Linked DNA regions of Danio rerio. The protein of the gene in region 1 binds, or shares a complex with, the protein of each later gene. Links are inferred from orthologs where the notes say so. Each region holds a gene or a part of one and is shown in the gene's direction. Other genes may lie near its edges.

What was found. The genes of interacting proteins can lie anywhere in the genome.
Region 2: the proteins of eif2s1a (region 1) and eif2b1 are in contact, whole or in part, in a cryo-EM structure (PDB 6K72), measured with the Homo sapiens proteins. The link is inferred for Danio rerio from reciprocal best matches to the Homo sapiens genes EIF2S1 and EIF2B1. Residues at the interface, in NP_004085.1 of Homo sapiens: Ala28, Glu29, Met30, Tyr33, Gly44, Met45, Leu47, Leu48, Arg75, Lys80, Tyr82, Ile83, Asp84, Arg88; in NP_001405.1 of Homo sapiens: Gly39, Thr41, Ile42, Gln43, Gly44, Leu45, Arg46, Ala47, Asn48, Glu70, Arg74, Ser77, Ser80, Leu81, Glu82, Tyr83, Ser84, Asp85, Tyr86, Cys89, Leu305.
Region 3: the proteins of eif2s1a (region 1) and eif2b4 are in contact, whole or in part, in a cryo-EM structure (PDB 6O81), measured with the Homo sapiens proteins. The link is inferred for Danio rerio from reciprocal best matches to the Homo sapiens genes EIF2S1 and EIF2B4. Residues at the interface, in NP_004085.1 of Homo sapiens: Met30, Tyr33, Met45, Arg55, Arg57, Arg75, Glu79, Lys80, Tyr82; in NP_001029288.1 of Homo sapiens: Asn245, Glu246, Glu247, Arg250, Thr285, Ser520, Ser521, Asp522.

Annotation. Positions count from the first base shown.
Region 1 is NC_133192.1:35,958,057-35,965,196, forward strand, and holds the end of eif2s1a (eukaryotic translation initiation factor 2 subunit 1a), read left to right. Parts: coding exon 1-23; intron 24-2,510; coding exon 2,511-2,715; intron 2,716-4,263; coding exon 4,264-4,407; intron 4,408-4,686; coding exon 4,687-4,812; 3' UTR 4,813-5,222; downstream 5,223-7,140. UniProt on the Homo sapiens protein: Member of the eIF2 complex that functions in the early steps of protein synthesis by forming a ternary complex with GTP and initiator tRNA. This complex binds to a 40S ribosomal subunit, followed by mRNA binding to form a 43S pre-initiation complex (43S PIC).
Region 2 is NC_133180.1:75,665,228-75,673,092, reverse strand, and holds the start of eif2b1 (translation initiation factor eIF2B subunit alpha), read left to right. Parts: upstream 1-3,572; 5' UTR 3,573-3,859; coding exon 3,860-3,872; intron 3,873-4,789; coding exon 4,790-4,891; intron 4,892-7,865.
Region 3 is NC_133195.1:21,987,924-21,995,816, reverse strand, and holds the start of eif2b4 (translation initiation factor eIF2B subunit delta), read left to right. Parts: upstream 1-3,600; 5' UTR 3,601-3,608; coding exon 3,609-3,657; intron 3,658-4,135; coding exon 4,136-4,173; intron 4,174-4,477; coding exon 4,478-4,658; intron 4,659-5,272; coding exon of another isoform or gene 5,273-5,275; coding exon 5,276-5,473; intron 5,474-7,893. UniProt on the Homo sapiens protein: Acts as a component of the translation initiation factor 2B (eIF2B) complex, which catalyzes the exchange of GDP for GTP on eukaryotic initiation factor 2 (eIF2) gamma subunit.

The DNA of each region.
Region 1 (7,140 bases):
GACGTCTTTAAGCAGGCTGTGTCGTAAGTGTGCACTCCTCTATAAACTGTTGGTTATGAACTGACCTGGACATATGTTGTTGATGTATTACAAATTCTGCTTAAAGATGAAAGTTCACCCTAAATGGAAAGTTCTGCCATTATTTACTCACCCTCCATTTGTTCCAGACCTGTTGTAAAGAGGGTTTTTTGTTCTATTAAAAACAAGACATATTTTAAAGTAGGACTGGGCGATGAATCGAATAAGAAATCTAAACCGAAGTCCATATCTTATAACTACACAATTTTCCAATGTTGGTTATTTTGTTTTTAAAGTTGTTAATTCTAACCCCTAAAACACTACTGTGTGTGATCAGACTGAATGCTTGAGAATTTTACTGACAGCATATTGAGTGCATTATTCGTATGCACAGTAATCTGACGTACTGTAAACACACGTCTCTCATATGTCAGAAAAGGGCCCTCTGCATGTAAATCATATTCTTTGTTGGTGGTTTATTTGGAATTGGGTGGGGATATCAGTGATTCAAAGGCCAAAGCTTATGTAATAAACCATCTAGGGCTGTGCAATTAATCGAAATTTAGTTTCAGTTTTGGCTTCTAACGATTGTGGAAAAACATCATTCGAGATGAAACGATTATTGCATCATATACCGCCCCCTTTCCAGTTGTACTCATTTGTTGCTCTGCTAAGCTCAGTTTCACGTGAAAATGACTAAAAGCATGTATTGTAATGTAACTTTTGCAGCACGGGATGCGCATCATTCATTGGTGTACATTCTAATCATTCATGTTTCTAAAACCACAAAAGGGATCACATACTGTTGTGTGTATGCGCCCAGCCTCAGAAACGAGTAGAGCACAAACATCTAGTCATCTTAATGTGAGTGCTTTAATGGTCAAATACATGCAAATTCGTGTCAAAACGAGGTGTTTTGTGATTATTCATATTAATCCTCATTTGTGTAATAAACGAGTTGAGAATCATGTGAATTTAGACATGTGAAAGTAAAACCATAAATCAGAACCGCACTGCTCTTAAAGTGACAGCATGCAATATTCCTGCTGCCGACTGTTTTTAATATTAATCAAACAACAAAAGGAGAAAATCACTCACTGCTCTTGACTGAAGGAATTTTTAGTTATAATTTTTTTCTAATAAAAAAGTTTTTTTCTTACAGTAAAGAACGATGCTTGAGACGCAATTTGTTTAATATTTTTACTCTATTGTATTTATTTCCCTTTACTTATTTACAGGGAGAAAATTAACTGTATATATACAGTTAAAGTAGGAATTCTTAGCAGCCCTTTATATTTTTCTCCTAATTTCTGTTTAGCGGAAAGATAGATTTAATAACTCATTTCTAATAACTGATTTCTTTTATCTTTGCTATGGTGATGGCAAATAATATTTTACTAAATATTTTTCAAGATACAAGCATACAGCTCAAAGTGCAGTTCAAAGGTCTTAACTGGGTTAATTAGGCAAGTCATTGTATAACAATAGTTTCTTCTGCAGAAAATCTGAAATAGGCTTTAAAATATTTAAACCAGCTTTTATTCTGGCCAAAATAAAACAAAATACTTTTTCTAGAAAAAAAAATATTATAGGAATTACTGCGAAAAATTCATTGCTCTGTTAAACATCACTTGGGGGAAAAAAATTGATGGGCGAATAATTTTGACTTCAATTGTATATCGTTTTGAATAATCGTGATTTCAATTATGTCCAAAATAATCATGATTATGAATTTTCCCATAATCGAGCAGCCCTAATACCATCCGCATTTTACTTTTCATTTTTACAGCGAATCAGTTTGAGTAAATGCAGACAATGCAATTATTTTTATGTTTTTATTTTATTTATTGTTTTTTTAAATTACCTATAACATGTCAAGTATCACTCGCTCACTTTCCTTCTGCTTAATAATACATTTTATTTTTAATTTGCTTTTCTTAGACTTAAAGTTCTACAAGGCAAAATACCAACCATAGCAGAAACAGCACAACAATAAAAAGATGCAATAAGAATATGAACCATAAAATGTAATTAGCATTTGTTTACAGGTGATGGAAATTATTATTGTAATAAGAAAAAGTTATTATAATACTTTTTCCACTTTTCACAAGAACATTTAAAATGTAATTTTGCCTTTAACAAGATGCTTGTTATTTTCCATTTTTGACAAGGATATATGGATAAATAATTACATTTAAAATAAAGCAATCGTTCAGTAATCAAAATTGAGGTAAAATGTTTATTTAATGGATGTTTTAATTTTAGGTCATATCGCCTGGCCCTAATTTTGTAGAATGTTATAAACTGGTAGTCTTTGGCTTTCATGGTTTTCTTTTCCTACTATTGATGTCAGTGGCTAAGGATTTTCAACATTTTTTTTAAAATGTCATTGTGAAAAAACTAACAAGCAATTACAATAGAGGTTGAGTAAATGTAGATATGTTTTTGTGTCAACCACCTCTTTGTGTTTTTTTTTTTTTTTTTTTTTGTAGGGATCCAGCTATATTAGATTGTCTGGAATTGACAGAGGAGGAACGAGCAGTCCTGATTGATAACATCAACAGACGCCTCACTCCACAGGCTGTCAAAATCCGAGCAGACATTGAGGTGGCCTGCTATGGGTATGAGGGCATCGATGCAGTGAAGGAGGCTTTGAGAGCAGGACTAACATGTTCAACAGAGTGCATGCCCATCAAGGTAAAAACTAGACCACAAATTATTTCAGATATGTCAGTTCATTCATATATAACATCCCTGAAATTTGATGTCCCATATTGAGTCTCTGTATATGGACCATTCATACATGCAGTTAAAGTCTGAATTATTTGACACCTTGTTTATTTTTCCCCAATTTCTGTTTAACGGAGGGAAGATTTTTTCCAACACATTTCTAAACATAATAGTTTTAATAACTCCTTTCTAATAACTGGTTTACTTTATCTTTGCCATGATGACAGTAAATACTATTTGGCTTGATATATTTCAAGACACTTCTATACAGCTTAAAGTGACATTTAAAGGCTTAACTAGGCTAAGTAGGTTAACTAGGCAGGTTAAGGTAATTTGGTAAGTTATTGTATACCGATGGTTTTTTTGTTTAGACTATCGAAAAAATTATAGCTTAAAGGGTCTAATAATTTTGACCTCGTTTTTTTTTTTTTTTCTTAATTGCTTTTATTCTAGCCGAAATAAAACAAATAAGACTTTCTCCTGAAGAAAAAATATTATCAGACATACTGTGAAAATGTCTTTGCTCTGTTAAACATCATTTGGGAAATATAAAAAAAGAAAGAAAAAAAATCAAAGGGGGGCTAATAATTCTGACTTCAACTGTATTACATTCATGTTTAAATATTTGAACACTTTATTTATTTGTTTTGTTTTGATAAGGTGTTACACTGATAATACTGGAAGAATCATGGAGGAATAAAGAATGTAATTTGTTTTGTAGTGTGGTATTTTATATTATTATATATACTGCATGATAAGAAAACATACATAGCAAATAGTCTTTAAAAATGTGGTCATAATGACAAGATAAATCAAGTTATTAAATTACGATGTAGTAATTACACAGAAGCAAAATTCTTTCTATATCAATTTTCCTGAGTAGCACATTAATATAATATCAGTATTGTGCAATTTTTGTTTTGAACCCAAGATGTTTTATTTTGTCAATGAAGAAAGTTTAAGAAAAGGATCAATTTGTGTATCTCAGTAAACATTGCAGTATTTAGTTGTGGACTAAATCTGTTTTTACAGGGCACCTATGATCACAATCATTATTTGTAAGCTGTTTGGACAGAACCATTTGTAGGAATAGTGTGTCCACAGTCATATTGGAGTGATAGAGACACAATAATTCTTTTGTTTTAATTTTCTGACGTTATATATAGGATCCAAATCCCTCACATTTTGAGGCCGACCGTAATGTAGGAGTGCTGTTTTCCCGCCCACCGAATTGATTGACATCCGCGTTTTAACATGTCTCCTTACTAGTAACGTGTATAATCATATCCACAAGACAAGATGTGCGCAAAGCAACTGCAGTTAAAAGATCTGTTCAGCTCTGTGTTCAGCAGCACCTCAAGAAAGAATTTTACAGGATTTAAACATTTATAAAACGGTGCATGTTTGTACTAAAGACAGTACAATCACTGTGTAGTTCTTCACCACAGCCGCGTGTCAGTACAATTGCGGACCATTGATAAATCAGGAGGAAAATTAATAATGTTTTTATTGCAGATCAACTTGATTGCTCCTCCTCGATATGTTATGACCACGACCACACTGGAGCGCACAGAGGGCCTTTCTGTGCTCAATCAAGCCATGGCCGTCATTAAAGAGAAGATCGAAGAGAAGAGAGGCGTCTTCAACATTCAGATGGAGGTCAGAATTTAGCATTTAAAATTCACTGTTTACTTACCCTCAATTTATCCAAACTTTTATGATTTTTTTTAAAGAATGCAGTAAACCATGTGTATGTATGTTTTAAGTCTATTTTTTAAAATGTCTAATCCATAACGCTGGAATTGCTTAGCTTTGCACATGCTGGGCAGTTCACAGTGGAAATCTGATATTGGCCACATTTAAAACAACAAAGTGAAGAGCTATGCAAAATAAATAAATCCCTCTCTGATTATTTGACTTGTTTTAATGCCCCTGAAGCCAAAAGTTGTGACGGACACGGATGAGACGGAGCTGGCACGACAGTTGGAGCGGCTGGAGAGAGAAAATGCTGAGGTGGATGGAGATGATGATGCAGAGGAAATGGAGGCCAAGACTGAGGACTAGTCTGAAGAAAGACGACAAACCAGCAGTGCTATAATCATTCCAGAGACTTCAGAGTTATAGTGAAGGGGTTATCACATCATGAAGACTGAAAAAAAACACTGCTTCTGTGATACTAAGCAGATTGTGAGTGAGAGATGTGGACTACATTGATGTACTTTTGCTTATCGGATGAGAATCGTGAGAGGAATTTCTTCCATGAACACTAGTTTTACTTTAGGAATGTTAGTACAGATAGTATTGTAGTTGATTTAAGTGACCTTCGTTTCCAGCTTTATTCAAGATGAGATTTGTGGTAAAAAAAAACAAACAAAAAAAAAACAAGCAAAACTGAAATCTTTATAGACAGCCAGCCAGTTTACTTATCAAAAATCTGTTCCACAGAGCTAATAAAAACAAGCAGTTTTCATGTACATTTTGTCATGTCTCTTGTTCTGTGCTGCTGATTACATCAAAGATTATTCAAGATGATAACTTCTCTCACTTGGATGTATTTTTCTAAACAGGAAAGTGGTATATTGGCAGATATTGTTTCTTTTGTTACAATTTGTAACAAATTTTTAAAAATGTGTAATTTTATTATTATTATTATTATCATTATTATTATTAAGAAATAAGAATAAATGTCTGGGGGGCTCCAACTATTTTTGGTAGTATATTGTAAAACCCAACAGTCAACTTTCTGAAATTAAATGAGTGTAGTTAACTCAAACTTTGAAATTTATTTTGAAAAGAGTTTGAACTGTGTTGAAGGTAATGAGTTAATTAGATACCTCATTACTTCAACTTAAATTGAGTAAGTTAACAGTACTCATAAAGATTAGTTTTTTAACTCAAAGGTTTGAGTTGATTTAACTTGTTGGGTTTTACAGTACTGTTGGTTTAAGTTCTCTTCATTTATATTGTTTTGCTGTGCTCAAATATCTTCGTTTACTCAAATGGATTAAGTTCACAGTACTCATTAGGAATAGTTTTTGAACTTTTATGGTTTGTTGCACTCAGCTTCCTCAAATGGATTGAGTTACCTTAACTTTTTGGGTTTTACAGTGTAGTTTGGTCATACTTGCTTCAGTGAATCAGATTTATGAATGTGTTTAAATCAATGTTTTAAGGGATATTTAGTGACTTTTAGAGGTTATTGGTCAAACTATACAAACTGTCTTTTTTTCGCTACATGCAGATATAAAGACCTGTTTTACAAGAAACGTGTTTTGTGAATATTTAAGATGTCTATCAGTGCTCTGGAACTGCCAGTTTCGGGTTGAATCATATTTTTCCTAGCATTGATTGGCGCATTTATGCATTCACAATGGTATGAACTGTTATTGGGGGATCAAATGTAAATGTATATAATACATTTTTAATTATTAATACTTCAGATATAGATCCGAGATCAGAGAAAGCTATTTCTTGCTATTTAAGGGTCTACTTCGTTTCAAACAACTTTTATTATACTTGCTCCCACCAGGAGATGGCGCTGTTGTATCACACGTCAGGATGTAAGCAGGCCCATTTAATGGTTACAAACATTCACTTAAACCGTATTTAAGAGCTATTTTATTTATCTTGCAGCTTTCAGAGGAGAAAAATGTTTTTCAGTCTGTGTCGTCTGAAGCAAGAGCAACTTGAAGAGAGTCCCATACATTTGCATCAGGTCAGCCAGTGTCAGCTATTTTTTTCCAGAAACACAGATGCACCTGAATCAAAACTACTAACGTTAATCGTGCTGTAGGTTTCTGACTCAGGATTTCTAACTTTGATTTTGTATATTGTAGAAGATTTGTGACAAATTAATCATAAGTATTATAAATAATAGCTGTAACGTTACATTTGTAACTTTTGCATCCAATCACTTCACTAAATGCATTTCATTTGATGTTATTCATTATGAGTGTGTTCTAGTTATATTCTTGAGCTGCTTTGTGTGGTAACGTATGCTTATAATGCGATTAATGTGCCTCGTAAACAACGTTATATAATGTGTTGTATCATCTCATGAATAATCATATTACAGGAATAATACCAATGTAGTAATGACCACAATTTAATCCTCCTTAATTTGAATGGCTTATATGTAGTTGCACATATTGGCATTGTCTATTTAAAATCTTAACAGTACGAAAATGCAGCTTGTTAAGTGACAAAACCTATTACAGCTTAGTAACATTTTAGTAAGATAATCAATCCTTACTTTCAATCCGTAAAGTAAACATTTTTTTTTATATTTTAAATGAGGGAAATATACATGCAATATAAATGTGACCAAAAAAGTGCGAGTTTACAGTGTACTACAAATCTGTGACTTAAACTGCACAACCTAAAAGAAACCAT
Region 2 (7,865 bases), on another chromosome or scaffold:
TCGGAGTGCAGATTACATTGTTTTATTAAAATATATATATTTTTTACTTATAGTTAAAAAATACATGTTTACTATTTTCCCAAGTGTATATATCTACTGTAAGAAATTATCAGCATTCAGTACATACTTTCAGTATTACCTTTGCTTGTTTGCTTTGCTAATCCTGTTTATATTAATTGAACCTGCACCGATGCAGGTTTGAGCTATCAGAACTGTTGCTATGACAACAACTCTCAGGTCAGTATTGAAGAACGAAACGATCCTGGATCGTGTCAAATCGTCAATACCCAAATCCAGCTAATTGAGTAATCCACGTACGAAGAACGAACCCCTGGACTGATAATATGCCTGATATATAAAATTAATTGTCTATGTTTACCTTTCGTGATACAGGCTGGCGATGACGGCTAGTTTGTTGGTCCTTGACATGACCAAATGAGCATTTGCCAGGACCATCAAACTGTCCAAACATGCTGAAAGGGTGAACTGAAGGAAAATAAATAACAAGTTATTTGTTCACCTGTATTGGTAATAGCGATAATAGTGCAAACATGGTGGATTATAGTGAATAAACAGTTGCTGCTAGAAGGGAAACAGCTGCGGCCAGAAGTTTAAATGAGAATTTATTATATTATTTATGTAATAATGACCTATCAATTGTATTTTATTAACATCTACTTAAACCCCAACCCACACAGTAATGTAAACACCGTAATTATACAGAATATTATTCATGTTACTTATGTATCAACATCCTCCTCACCCCAACACTAAAACTACCTGAAAAGTATTCATTACTGTTGTACAACAGTACACTCACCGGCCACTTTATTAGGTACATCTTACTAGTACCAGGTTGGACCCCTTTTGCCCTCAGAACTGCCTTAATCCTTCATGGTATAGATTCAACACGCTACTGGAAATATTCCTCAGAGATTTTGCTCCATATTGACATGATAGCATCACGCAGTTGCTGCAGATTTGTCGGCTGCACATCCATGATGCCAATCTCCTGCTCCACCACATCCCAAAGGTGCTCTATTGGATTGAGCTCTGGTGACTGTGGAGGCCATTTGAGTACAGTGAACTCATTGTCATGTTCATGAAACCAGTCTGAGATGATTCACGCTTTATGACATGGTGCCTTAACCTGCTGGAAGTAGCCATCAGAAGATGGAGACACTGTGATCATAAAGGGATGGACATGGTAGGCTACAATACTCAGGTAGGCTGTGGTGTTGACACCATGCTCAATTGGTACTAATGGACCCAAAGTGTTCTAAGAAAATCTCTCCCACACCATTACACCGCCACCACAAGCCTGAACCATTGATACAGGGCAGGATGGATTCATGATTTCATGTTGTTGACTCTAAATTCTGACCCGAACATCTGAATGTGTCAGCAGAAATGGAGACTCATCAGAGCAGGCAATGGTTCTCCAATCTTCTATTGTCCAGTTTTGGTGAGTCTGTGTGAATTGTAGCCTCAGTTTCCTGCTCTTAGCTGACAGGAGCGGCACCCGGTGTGGTCTTCTGCTGCTGTAGCCCATCCGCCTCAAGGTTGGACGTGTAGTGTGTTCAGAGATGCTCTTCTGCAGACCTCGGGTGATTATTTGAGTTACTGTTGCCTTTCTATCAGCTGGAACCAGTTTGGCCATTCTCCTCTGGCATCAAAAAGGCATTTGTGCCAACAGAACTGCCGCTCACTGCATATTTTCTCTTGTTCAGACCATTCTCTGTGAACCCTAGAGATGGTTGTGCGTGAAAATCCCAGTAGATCAGCAGTTTCTGAAACACTCAGACCAGCCTGTCTGGCACCAACAATCATGCCACATTCAAAGTCACTTAAATCCCCTTTCTGATGCTCGCTTTGAACTGCAGCAGATCGTCCTGAGCATGTCTTGAAGCCTAAATGCATTGAGTTGCTGCCCTGTGATTGGCTGATAAGAAATTTGCGTTAATGAGTAGCTGGACAGGTGTACCTAATAAAGTGGCCGGTGAGTGTATAATGACGGGAGTAAACGCAGCTGTATCTCTTATAGACTTTACCTAAAATAAATTTAAATATTAATGAATTAATATTAAACTGACCTTTGGCTCCCGCTGCGCCTGCTGACCCCACCACACAGGATTCACATCCAGCACTATGACCAGAATATTAATATCATCGTCTGCAAAACATCAGCAAGCGCTATTATTATTATCATCATCATCTTTTGTATGTTTATTGTTGAAGCATCTTCATCTTCTTCCTACACAAAGAGAAACCCGAGAGATCGAAAAACCGTTAAACGTTTCATTAATGGTGTTTGTGTGATTTACAAACCCGAAGCCATTGCTGCAATTCCGGCGTCTCTAAATTGATATAAAACTGTATTTCTTTGCTGTTTTCTTCAATATGTTGAAAGTTGTGCTGTTTGGACTCATGCTTAAATCTTCTTCTGTTTATTTAATGGAGAGATTGAACTCAGTGTAGCGCCACCTGCTGTACTGGTGCAGGAAAAAAAATATCATTTTTTAATTTTCCTTCTTTATTTTATTTCGTTTTATTTTATTTTTGTTTTATTTTTATATTTTTTTTACTGTATTTTATTTATTTTTTATTTTATTTTTGTTTTATTTATTTTTGTTTTCTTATTTTTATTTTTATTTATTTTATTTACAATCCTTCGGCCTTCTAATCACAATATTTAGTTTAGTTTAGATTTATTTTCTTTGATTTTATTTTTTTAATTTTTTTATTTTTGTTTTATTTTATTTATCTCATTTCAATTCATTTTTTTATTTTAACTAATCTTATCTTATCCTATCTTATTTTACTATTATTTTTTATTTTTCATTTTTTTTACTTTACTTTATTTTATTTTATTTAACTTTTTTATCTTATTTTATTATTTTATTTTATTTCCTTTTACTTTTTATCTTATTTTATTGTTTTATTTTATTTAATTTTACATTATTTTAATTTAATTTTATTTAATTTTATTTAATTTTATTTAATTTTATTTTATTTTATCACTCTTTTTTTATATTATTATTAATATTATTATTTTATTTTATTATTATTTTGTTTTATTTTACTCACTATCCTCCGGCATTCCATATGCAATATTATATTTTATATTTATTTATCTTGCAGAGACAACTAAACTTTTTTTTTCAGGCACCGAAATTAAACTCTACAAGCTCACAGTTTGTATATGTCTATACTTATAACATTTAATTTTATTATTTTACTTTGAAAAAATATATATATATCATTAGCAGTATATTATTATGCATTCCGTATTGTGTTCTATTAAGTTACGTTAATTAATGTATTTCCTACTCATTAAAGTACTAAATTTATTCCTTATACACACAACAATTATTAATATAAATTAATTTTAGTTCTTTTTTGTACTAATTTATTTATATGCCGTAATAATATTTTTAAAAATATTCGATTCGATTGATAATTATTTTAATTGTGTTATTATACAGTTTGAATAACCCTGTAGTAGAGAATTAAACAAATGATCCTGCTGTTTTTCTGCTGTCCAGCAGCGGCGCTACATGAAGCGACTGTTCACTCGACATAAAACAACGAAGAAGAAGAAAGTGAGCATGTCCACTTGTTCACTGTAAATAGCCTTTCATTTGAAATACACTAGAAGAATAGATGTTATTCAGTTTCTGAAAGGGATCGTATGAAATAAATGGGTAAAGCAAGCATTACTTTGTAGACAAACTTTAAACAATTCGTCGTACTGGATGTCAGAGAGCGTCATGACAGATCGTTGCATCAGCGACACTATCATTATTAGCTCGTGAAACTCAAAACTTGACAGATCTCTGAGAGAGAAAGTGCTTTTAAAATGGAGGAAAGAGGTGAGTTTGACAACAACACAAGACAGAACACACTTAATAATTATTCAGAGATGATTCTGAGTTATTTGCGTAGCTGCTTTGCTTTCCTGAGCATCTTATATTACATTTTGAATTATATTATGATCAATTATGTTGATATGTTGGTTGGTAACGCAAGGCATTTGTGCTTGTTTTCGACCTGTTTGATTGACACACATAATATCAATAATAATTGAGAACATTTCGTGATTCCACGTGTATATATGTATAGCTAATGCATTATGGGAACATCTAAAGACTTTGTTGATCAGGAGATTAATAATATTTCATTTATTTAATTATTTAAAGGTGCAAGAGTCATGATGTTTACACAGATGATTATAGCTGCTCATAGTGTGTGTTATAAAAGCTGTTCTTTATTAATTTTAGGGTTTGACTTTTTTGTTCACTCGCTATTTAATGTCTGAGTAATTGTTAAATGTTGTTAAATGTTTCAATGTTGTTAAATTGTTGGTAATTGTAGTTATTTGTGGTCAAAATTATGAATAGCTTTACTATACTATACTGTAAGTCTAACATTTTACCAAAAGGTTCAGTTTATTATTAATTAATTCATCGGCTAGTACTAAAGACTATAAACATAATTATAAACATAATTATCTAAAATATATTTTACACTTTATATGAGTTTAGTTTTATACTGTATTGTTATCCAGCAGAAGTTTAAATACAATTTCAGTTAGGTAATTTGAAGTTAAGTACTTTTCTTACCCAACACAGCTTACTTTCACCAAACAATTCAACAGCGAAGGTACAGAATTACAAAGACAAAAATGCAAAACGTTTACATTTATACCCTGATATTTTCAGATTGGGAATTAAAACAATTCAACAGTGGAAGTCAGTAATTTATTTGAATATGTATTTCTCTCTTCCAGAACTGGTGGAGTATTTCCGTGGGCAGATCAGGGAAGATCCAGATGTGGCTTCAGCGGTGGCTGCGATTCGATCACTGCTTGAGTTCCTGAAGAGGGATCAGAGTGAGTTTGTGCTGTTTGATTTTCGGCTTGGGATGTGGATGTGAACTGATGCTTGAAATAGATGTGAACCGATGCTTGATGTGGATGTCAACTGATGTGAATTGATGCTTTATTTGGATATGAACTAATGTGAACCGATACTTGATATGGATGTGAACTAATGTGAACTGGTTCTTGTTGTGGATGTCAACTGATGTGAAGCGATGGTTGATGTGGATGTGAACTAATGTGAACTGATACTTAATTTGAATGTGAACTGGTTCTTGATGTGGAAGTCAACTGATGTGAACCGATGGTTGATGTGGATGTGAACTAATGAGAATTGATACTTGATATAGAAGTGAACTCATGAGGGTGTGAACCGATACCTGATATAGATATGAACCCATGCTTGATGTGGATGTGAACTAATGTGAACTGAAACTGGATAATATAGATGTGGATCAATGTGGGTGTGAACCGATGCTTGATTTAGATGTGAACAAATGTGAACTAATACTTGACATAGATGTGATTGTAAACCGATGCTTGATGTGCATGTGAACCGACTCCTGATGTGGGTGTGAACTGATGCTTGATGTGGATATAAACTAATGTGAAGATATAATTGATATAGATGTGAACAGATTCTTGATGTGAATGTGAAATGATGTGAACTAGTTTGAACCTATGCTTGATTTGGATGTGAACTAGTGTGAACCGATGCTTGATGTGGATGGGAACTAATGTGAATCGATACTTTATGTAGATGGGAACTGATGCTTGATAAGGTTGTGAAATTATGTGAACTAATGTGAACCGTTTCTTGATTTAAATGTGAACTAGTGCGAACTGATGCTTGATGTAGATGGGAACTAATGTGAACCGATGCTTGATTTGGATGTGAACTAGTGTGAACCGATGCTTGATTTGGATGTGAACTAGTGTGAACCGATGCTTGATGTGGATGGGAACTAATGTGAATCGATGCTTGATTTGGATGTGAACTAATGTGAACTGATGCTTGATGTAGATGGGAACTAATGTGAACCGATGCTTGATTTGGATGTGAACTAGTGTGAACCGATGCTTGATGTGGATGGGAACTAATGTGAATCGATGCTTGATTTGGATGTGAACTAGTGTGAACCCATGCTTGATGTGGATGTGAACTAATGTGAACTGAAACTGGATAATATAGATGTGGATCAATGTGGGTGTGAGCCTATGCTTGATGTGAACTACTGTGAACTGATGCTTGATTTAGATGTGAACTAATGTGAACTAATACTTGACATAGATGTGATTGTAAACCGATGCTTGATGTGCATGTGAACCGACTCCTGATGTGGGTGTGAACTGATGCTTGATGTGGATATAAACTAATGTGAAGATATAATTGATATAGATGTGAACAGATTCTTGATGTGAATGTGAAATGATGTGAACTAGTGTGAACCGATGCTTGATGTGGATGGGAACTAATGTGAATCGATACTTTATGTAGATGGGAACTGATGCTTGATAAGGTTGTGAAATTATGTGAACTAATGTGAACCGTTTCTTGATTTAAATGTGAACTAGTGCGAACTGATGCTTGATGTAGATGGGAACTAATGTGAACCGATGCTTGATTTGGATGTGAACTAGTGTGAACCGATGCTTGATTTGGATGTGAACTAGTGTGAACCGATGCTTGATTTGGATGTGAACTAGTGTGAACCGATGCTTGATGTGGATGGGAACTAATGTGAATCGATGCTTGATTTGGATGTGAACTAATGTGAACTGATGCTTGATGTAGATGGGAACTAATGTGAACCGATGCTTGATTTGGATGTGAACTAGTGTGAACCGATGCTTGATGTGGATGGGAACTAATGTGAATCGATGCTTGATTTGGATGTGAACTAGTGTGAACCCATGCTTGATGTGGATGTGAACTAATGTGAACTGAAACTGGATAATATAGATGTGGATCAATGTGGGTGTGAGCCTATGCTTGATGTGAACTACTGTGAACTGATGCTTGATTTAGATGTGAACTAATGTGAACTAATACTTGACATAGATGTGATTGTAAACCGATGCTTGATGTGCATGTGAACCGACTCCTGATGTGGGTGTGAACTGATGCTTGATGTGGATATAAACTAATGTGAAGATATAATTGATATAGATGTGAACAGATTCTTGATGTGAATGTGAAATGATGTGAACTAGTGTGAACCGATGCTTGATGTGGATGGGAACTAATGTGAATCGATACTTTATGTAGATGGGAACTGATGCTTGATAAGGTTGTGAAATTATGTGAACTAATGTGAACCGTTTCTTGATTTAAATGTGAACTAGTGCGAACTGATGCTTGATGTAGATGGGAACTAATGTGAACCGATGCTTGATTTGGATGTGAACTAGTGTGAACCGATGCTTGATTTGGATGTGAACTAGTGTGAACCGATGCTTGATTTGGATGTGAACTAGTGTGAACCGATGCTTGATGTGGATGGGAACTAATGTGAATCGATGCTTGATTTGGATGTGAACTAATGTGAACTGATGCTTGATGTAGATGGGAACTAATGTGAACCGATGCTTGATTTGGATGTGAACTAGTGTGAACCGATGCTTGATGTGGATGGGAACTAATGTGAATCGATGCTTGATTTGGATGTGAACTAGTGTGAACCCATGCTTGATGTGGATGTGAACTAATGTGAACTGAAACTGGATAATATAGATGTGGATCAATGTGGGTGTGAGCCTATGCTTGATGTGAACTACTGTGAACTGATGCTTGATTTAGATGTGAACTAATGTGAACTAATACTTGACATAGATGTGATTGTAAACCGATGCTTGATGTGCATGTGAACCGACTCCTGATGTGGGTGTGAACTGATGCTTGATGTGGATATAAACTAATGTGAAGATATAATTGATATAGATGTGAACAGATTCTTGATGTGAATGTGAAATGATGTGAACTAGT
Region 3 (7,893 bases), on another chromosome or scaffold:
CTACTCAGTACAATTCCTGAGAAAAAGTAATTAATTTCAGTAGTTTGAGTGTTTGTATTAGTTACTTTACACCACTGCCTATTGCACATGTCTTTGGACTGTGATGGAAACTGGAGCACCTGGATGAAAGCCACGCAGACACAGGGAGAACATGCAAACTCCACACAGAAAAGTCTCCTGGTCGAACCTTCTTGCTGTGATATGACAGTGCTAACCATTTAGCCACCATGTCACAGTCTCACAATGAAGACAAGGATGGTTATCTCCTTTCATCAATTTATTCAAACACACAGTGGATTGATCAACAGGAGAAGCTGGTAATATTCTTGGCTGACTAACTAACTAACTAACTAACTAACTAACTAACTAACTAACTAACTAACTAACTAATTAACTAACCAACCAACTAACTAATTAATAACTAAATCCATGAATTTAATATTTGTGTATTTGAAATGTCAAATATTTGCATCTAATTTTCTTACAGTTTTTCTCAGTCGCTTTAGTGCATTTCTCACAACACCAGTACATTTCTGCACAACAGTTATTGCATTTCTCAAAACAATTAAACTGCAAAACCTAGCTGATAACCTGCAAAAGCGCGTCACATGCTCAAAATGGATAGTTCATTCCTCAAAAGCAAGTATTGATGTCAATCAAAGTGTCAGTATCATCAAAATGAAAAGTCCTGACACCATTGTTTATGAACAAGATAGTCAAATGGCTTTGTCATGTTTTCATTATGTCAGTTTACTCTGGACATTTTTTCAATGCAAAAAAGTCAGATTTTGGTGACACTTCCTGAAAATGCTCAAGACAGAACTTAATACTATTTGCACAGCCATTTGAAAACTACAGCAAAGTTTGACAACAGCTTTTAGTGAGGTATCCGATTACAAGACACTGAATATGTATGTTTCACATTTTTACTGCACATGCTCGTTGCAATTCTAATTTATTCACAGCATTGTGCAAAAGAATAAACACACCCTTATGTACAACAAGCACAAGCTTCCTTTGGGTAAAACAGGGCACAACTGTAAACAATATTGCAGAACATATTGGAACTGGACCTACAACAAACACAGGTCAGTAAATCATTCATGAAATTGTTCAATTTTAAAGACATTTTCAGGAAAATAAAGATACATTTTTTTTTAATAAAATTTGCTAGATAGATTTTGATAACTAGTTCAACATTTTTGTATGTAATGACTCAAGTAATGAAATGAGGACTATTAGTTTTATATGAAATGACTTTTCAGCATTCACAAGTTTAGTTACAGTTTTTCTCAGTCGCTTTGGTGCGTTTCTCACAACACCTGTGCATTTCTGCACAACAGTGAATGCATTTCTCAAAACAATTAGTACAAACTGCAAAACCTAGCTGATAACCTGCAAAAGTGTGTCACATGCTCAAAATGTTCATTCCTCAAAAGCAAGTATTGATGTCAATCAAAGAGTCAGTATCACCAAAATGAAAAGTCCTGACACCATTGTTTATGAACAAGATAGTCAAATGGCTTTGTCATGTTTTCATTATGTTAGTTTACTCTGGACATTTTTTCAATGCAAAAAAGTCAGATTTTGGTAAAACTTTGTGAAAATGCTCAAGACAGCACTGTATACTATTAGCACAGCCAATTGAAAACTACAGTAAAGTTAGACATCACTGCATTTAGTGAGTGTATCTAGTACAAGACACTGAATATGTATGTTTCACATTTGTTCTACATTTGCTCTTTACAATTTGAATTTATTCACAGCATTGTGCAGAAGAATAGACGCACCCTTTTTTACAACAAACATAAACTTTCTTTGTGTTGAACTGTGCACAACCGTAAACAATATTGCAGAACATATTGGAACTGAACCAACATACATACACAGGTCAGTAAATCATTCATGAAATTGTTCAATTTAGAAGACATTTTCAGTAAAATAATTTTTTTTTTGATAAAATTAGCTTGCAAGATTTTGACAACTAGTTCAACATTTTTGTATGTAATGACTCAAGTAATAAAATGAAGACTGTTAGTTTTATTTGCAATGACTATTCAGCATTTACAAGTTTAGTTAATTTGGACTGACATGACATTAGCAAATGATAATGTTATAAACAGCAGAGAGTTGTATGAAAGCAATTGATGCATGTCCAAAAGCATTTGCAGTTTGTTGAAAGGAATGAGAAACTGCTACTATGTGCACAAATGACTAATTGTTTTGAGAAATGCATGACCTGATGTGCTAATGTAAATAGTGTTGTGAGAAATGCACCAAAGCGACTGAGAAAAACTGTAACATACAGTGATTGTTCCATAATGACACATTATTAAGACTGTCTGAAGTTATGTTTGTATAGCATTTTCCAATACAACAAAACCTGCTTATGAAAATTGGAAAGTTTCAGTGGAATTTTAGATAATTCAATGTCACATAAAAAAAAAAAAAATTTTACCTTCTTGTTTTTTAAACAAATAAGATGGGATTACAAACCAATAAGAATCCTCATTTTTTATCTATCTAATTAGCTTCTAATAAATAAGTGCTAGAATGTGCACCAATAGTAGCTAAAGCATAAGCAATAGTGGGTTATAAAATGTATAGGTACTTAATGGAAAAGTTTAGTATTTAAAAAACATAAGTACTAGCTGCATTAAAGTTTTCAAGACAGCACTATATATACACTATTTGCTTGGCCATTTGAAAACACCAGTAAAGTTAAACATCACTGCATTTAGTGAGGTATCTGAGTACAAGACACTGAATATGTATGTTTCACATTTTAACTGCATTTGCTCTTTACAATTCTAATTTATTCACAGCATTGTGCAAAGGAATAAACACACCGTTACAACAAACAAACTCACTTTGGGTAGAGCTGTGCACAACTGTAAACAATACTGCAGTACATATTGGAACTGAACCTACAACATACACAGGTCAGTAAATCATTCATGAAACTGTTTAATTTTTTAGACATTTTCAGGAAAATAAATATTTTTATAAAATTTGCTTGACAGATTTTGACAAATAGTTCAACGTTTTTGTATGTAATGACTCAAGTAATGAAATGAGGACTATTAGTTTTATATGGAATGACTATTCAGCATTTACAAATTTAATTCATTTTGACTGACATGACATAAGCAAATGATAATGATATAAACAGCAGAGAGTTGTATAAAAGCAATTGATGCATGTCCAAAAGTATTTGCAATTTGTTGGAAGGATTGAGAAAATGCTACTAGGATGTGCACAAATGAGTAACTGTTTTGATAAATACATTAACTGTTGTGCAAATGTAAATACCCTGCTGAAAAAAACAGCTTAAACCAGCATAAGCTGGTTGGCTGGTTTTAGCTGGTTGACCAGCCTGGTTTTAGAGGTGTTTTTGGCCATTTCCAGGCTGTTTTTTTCAGCAGGATAGTGTTGTAAGAAATGCACCAAAGCGACTGAGAAAAACTGTAAATGTGAAAACGTCTGGCGTTACATGTAAAACGAAAGAAAGTCATCTTACTCGTTTCTATCGCTAGATGGCAGTGTAATTCTTCTCCGTTGCGTTTCACATCGGTTTACCAGCAGGAGAAGTCACGAAGAAATGAAACATGGCGGACTCGGATGGGAGACAGGTTGACAGCATCAACCATGCTACAGGTAAAACATAATATTGCCAACTTTCTACGTGTGCTGAGACCGACGTGAACATGTACACAAGCAGTCGTTTACAGTCACCAACAGAGAGCTTGTGTTACGGCTCGTTCGGTCGCTTGATCGCCTCTGCCATGACACAGCTGACTTGACACATCCATACAGTGGAAATTACATCATGCTGTTTTGCCATTTGGAATGTATTTATGCTGACCTCTAACTGCATAAATTGATCACATTATTCCAAATTGTGTGTAACGCGATATTTTTTCAAGACAAAGAGAATCTTTATGCAACGTTTTTAGTTTGGTAAAGATCGTGTGCCAGCATGATGAAATAACACTGCAAATTCAGTGTCGAGGGGTTTTCTGTTCTCGTAGACCTCATTACTTCAAACTTAAACCGCCTTTTCTCTGTAAATGACTATAATCTAGCAAATTTAACCTTGATATACCTTTTAAATATCTGTTTGTTTGTGTCATAGGTGAAGAAGGGAAGTTGCAAGATATTGTAAAAGCAAAGGTAGGTCTTTTTTATTATTAATATTATTATAAATTCACTATATTTTATACCATATTTTATTTGTATGTTATTTTTCAAATCCATTGATTGTTTCTTAAAAAGTACTTAATATTTAAAAAAATTAATTGTCCAAATGTCCTAAAGAGATGCTGTCCTGGACAACATTTTAGGCTTTACTAGAAATAAAATGTTTTTTTAATGCCCAAAGTGCAGATTTGATTTTTAAGACATGCCACATTTGTTTACAGGATTTCTGAATTTAATAATAAATTGAAACTGTGACACTTTTTTTTTTTACTTATAGAGTGAAGGTAAGGAGTTGACCAAAGAAGAAAAGCAGCGTCTTAGGAAAGAGAAGAAGCAGCATAAAAAGAATAAAAAAGATGACAACAAGGGTCCTCCAGAGAAGGAAAAGGAGAAGGAAAAAGAGAAAGCATCTGCTCCACCTCCATCAAAGCCTGTCACCCAGAGCCCGGCACATAAAGGTACCTCAGTGTGAAAACAAAAGTGTTCTCAATTTTCATACAATGCAATTTTTATTAAAGTTAATTTAATATCGATTGAAATTTGAAATAACTTGGTATAATTAAAGGAAATTTATTTATGTGTTTTTCTGTCTTATTAAGACTAGTTTAATATTTACAGGGAAGAATGGAGTTAAAAACATTTATGCAAATAGAGTCCCCCCCCCTCGCAAAGAAAATGTTGACCCTGACCCTGATTGTATAAGTCTATATACAAAAAACTGAAATAATACTAGTAGAGCTTAATAAAATGAAGCTGTTGCAAACATTATAAACATATTATAGTTCCCCTCATTGCCAGTAGAATAGTAAAGAAGATTAATAGTCCTAAAAGTAAAAGGCAGTCTACACTTTGAGTAAAAAAAAAAAAAAACAAGAAACATCTTCTTTGGAATAAAAGTCATGGCACATTTCAGATAATTAAAAAAAGGCAACTTATGTTTTTGAAAATACAATGTCTGTTTTGATGCTGCTATTTTTATTTCTTAGCTTAATGGAGTTTTTTAATAGCCTTTTAATCTACTCTATGGTCTATTTTGGGGTGCTGTTTTAACTGTCGGACCCTTTGATGTCAGCAGCTGCTCCAGCACCTGTAACTGCATCTGCATCTGAAACTCCTGCGGCTGCAGAGAAGCCTGCAAAGACCAAAGCAGAGCTGCGAGCAGAGCGACGGGCACGGCAAGACTCAGAACGAGCATCAAAACAGGGCAAGAAGGAAGGTGGTCAACAATCCACCTCCAGCAAACCTAAAGCCTCCCCCAATGAGCTCCAGCCAGGTAATTTATACTTGCGGACCTTACTCTTCAACCTGACCATACCGTTATAATATTGTAATTGATGTTTTTGCAATTTTATCGAGCTTGTTGCAAAAAAAGAATGAAAACACATCTCGTGCGAGCAAATATTTAGGTGTTATAAGTAGGGATATGGACTTTTGGGCCGATATCGATAACTGATAACCATACAGGTACTCCGAAAGTGGCGAGAGCGTCAAAGTAGCCCGAAGTTATTCATTTTCAATGAGAGCCAGTGGCGAGGAGCAGCGTGGCGCATCTTTACCTGTGTAGCCGTTCTTTCTCTGTAGCCGCAATGTTTTGAACTTATTTGAATGCATTCGTTTACTGGATCTTTGGACTGAAAGGTTTACGGGGTTTCACTTGTTTTTAGAAATGTCTGATCGTAAAACCTGCAACTTTTTATTTCTAAGGTATTTTTTTTGGTTATTATGTACTGATTCAAATTACTGATTCAAATTACAAGTCGGGCGCAGGTGCAATCATCGAATATATTCAATGCAAGCCAGCGCCACGGTATTCACTGCATCATCACTGTGACACTTATTCACATATGACTGGATGTGGTGTCATGATTTTGGCTACTGCAGGACACTACTGAATGATGCGCATCAGAGGGGATTTAGAAGTGGTAGGCTATACTATACCTGAATCAACCCATTCTCACGAATTGCCTGCTTATACACTCCAATACACCATATTATCGTCATTTTTGATTGCGACTTGTAAAAAGCATTTACGTCCTTGTCCTTTTTTAATGAGCCATTTTCTGAAGCTTTAAATGCACCATGCGCATATCTAAACGAATGCTGCAATAGACACCTCACTTTTCATGTAATAAACACTTTATCCGCGACACACACTCTGCCAGCTTTAATTTTTTAAAGTAATTTTAGGTTATACGTTTACATAGGAGGCAAAGCAGTGGCGCAATAGGTAGTGCTGTCTCCTCACAGCAAGAAGGTTGCTGGTTCGATTCTCGGCTCAGTTGGCGTTTCTGTGTGGAGTTTGCATGTTCTCCCTGCCTTCGCGTGGGTTTCCTCCGGGTGTTCCGGTTTCCCTCCGGTTTTACTTTTGGTGCAAAAAAAAGGCCTGAATTATTGAAAGTGTTAAAATATTCTTTCAATTTATTTTATAACTATGAAATTTAATTAATAAACAAAGTAAAGCATTAACTTGCCAAGAAATGCTCCACTTTACCACGGTAAAATAATGCCCCCACTCATGCAATACTAGAACCTGGTCTATATAACCATGGAAATATGTGTACACACAATAACACCAAAGTTGCGTACTTGTAAAATAAACAAAATGAACAAGATGCACTTTCTCTCATGCAGCCTCTGTAAAATGTAGCGCTTCGCAGCAATGAATTGGCTACTTGATGAAAAGAAATGCATGCAGCTTCGGCAATCTTCATATTTTTCGGCATATTTTCCACTGACTGAGAATAATGCAGCACTATTTTATTAACAAATTATTACAATTCTTTTTTTCCCCCCGATTTTATATATATATATATATATATATATATATATATATATATATATATATATATATATATATATATCCATCTATTTTTAGGCACCGACACACCTGTGGCTACGCCCCTGTTAAAAAGGAATTATAAGTTTGATCCTATCCTAATGAGCGCCATAATGTATTTATTAGTTGTCTGCAAGCATCAGTGTTTATTGAGATTGAAATAATAAAAAATAAAATAAAATTGAAAATGAGATAAAAAAATATTGTTATAGCAACCCTTGTGACTGCTTTGGGAAATAACACTTGTCGTAGATGTCACAGGATGACTGATCGTTAAGGAACGTGTTGTCTGGCACATTTGTTACCCACGACAGGTCAATATTTTATCAAGAAAAAAATTGCATAATCTGACAAAGTGACCTCCGTAACCGGCAATAAAAATTAATAAAATAAAAAACATTAATAAAAAGTAATGTACATATGTACAAATACGTAATGTCCAAAAAAGTGTTTTGATCCACCGTACAAGCGAAAAGCTAAAAACAGTTAGTATTACTTTAGAAAATGCTGCTTAAATGCATCCTATTTGGCATTTTAGATTCTTTTCAACACGTGTAGTTGCTGCTTTTCAATCAGACAATGCTTCTATGTTCATTCTTGCTGTCAAATGCGGTAAAAAAGATTTATGATGAACTGCTGTAAGTATCAAACATTAACTGCAGCCGCTGTGTAACATGCAGCGCTCCTGAAAGTTTGGATGGGGTGGTGGAATTTTTTCGCTTTTCTAAACCTAAAACCCAAGGGGAGAAAGGCCAGCGTGGATCAAGCTATGTGAGAGGCCGTAAAAGCAGCACAACCCAGTCATATTTCCTTTTGTTTCAAGCTACGATTATTTAGATTACATATCAACAGAACAA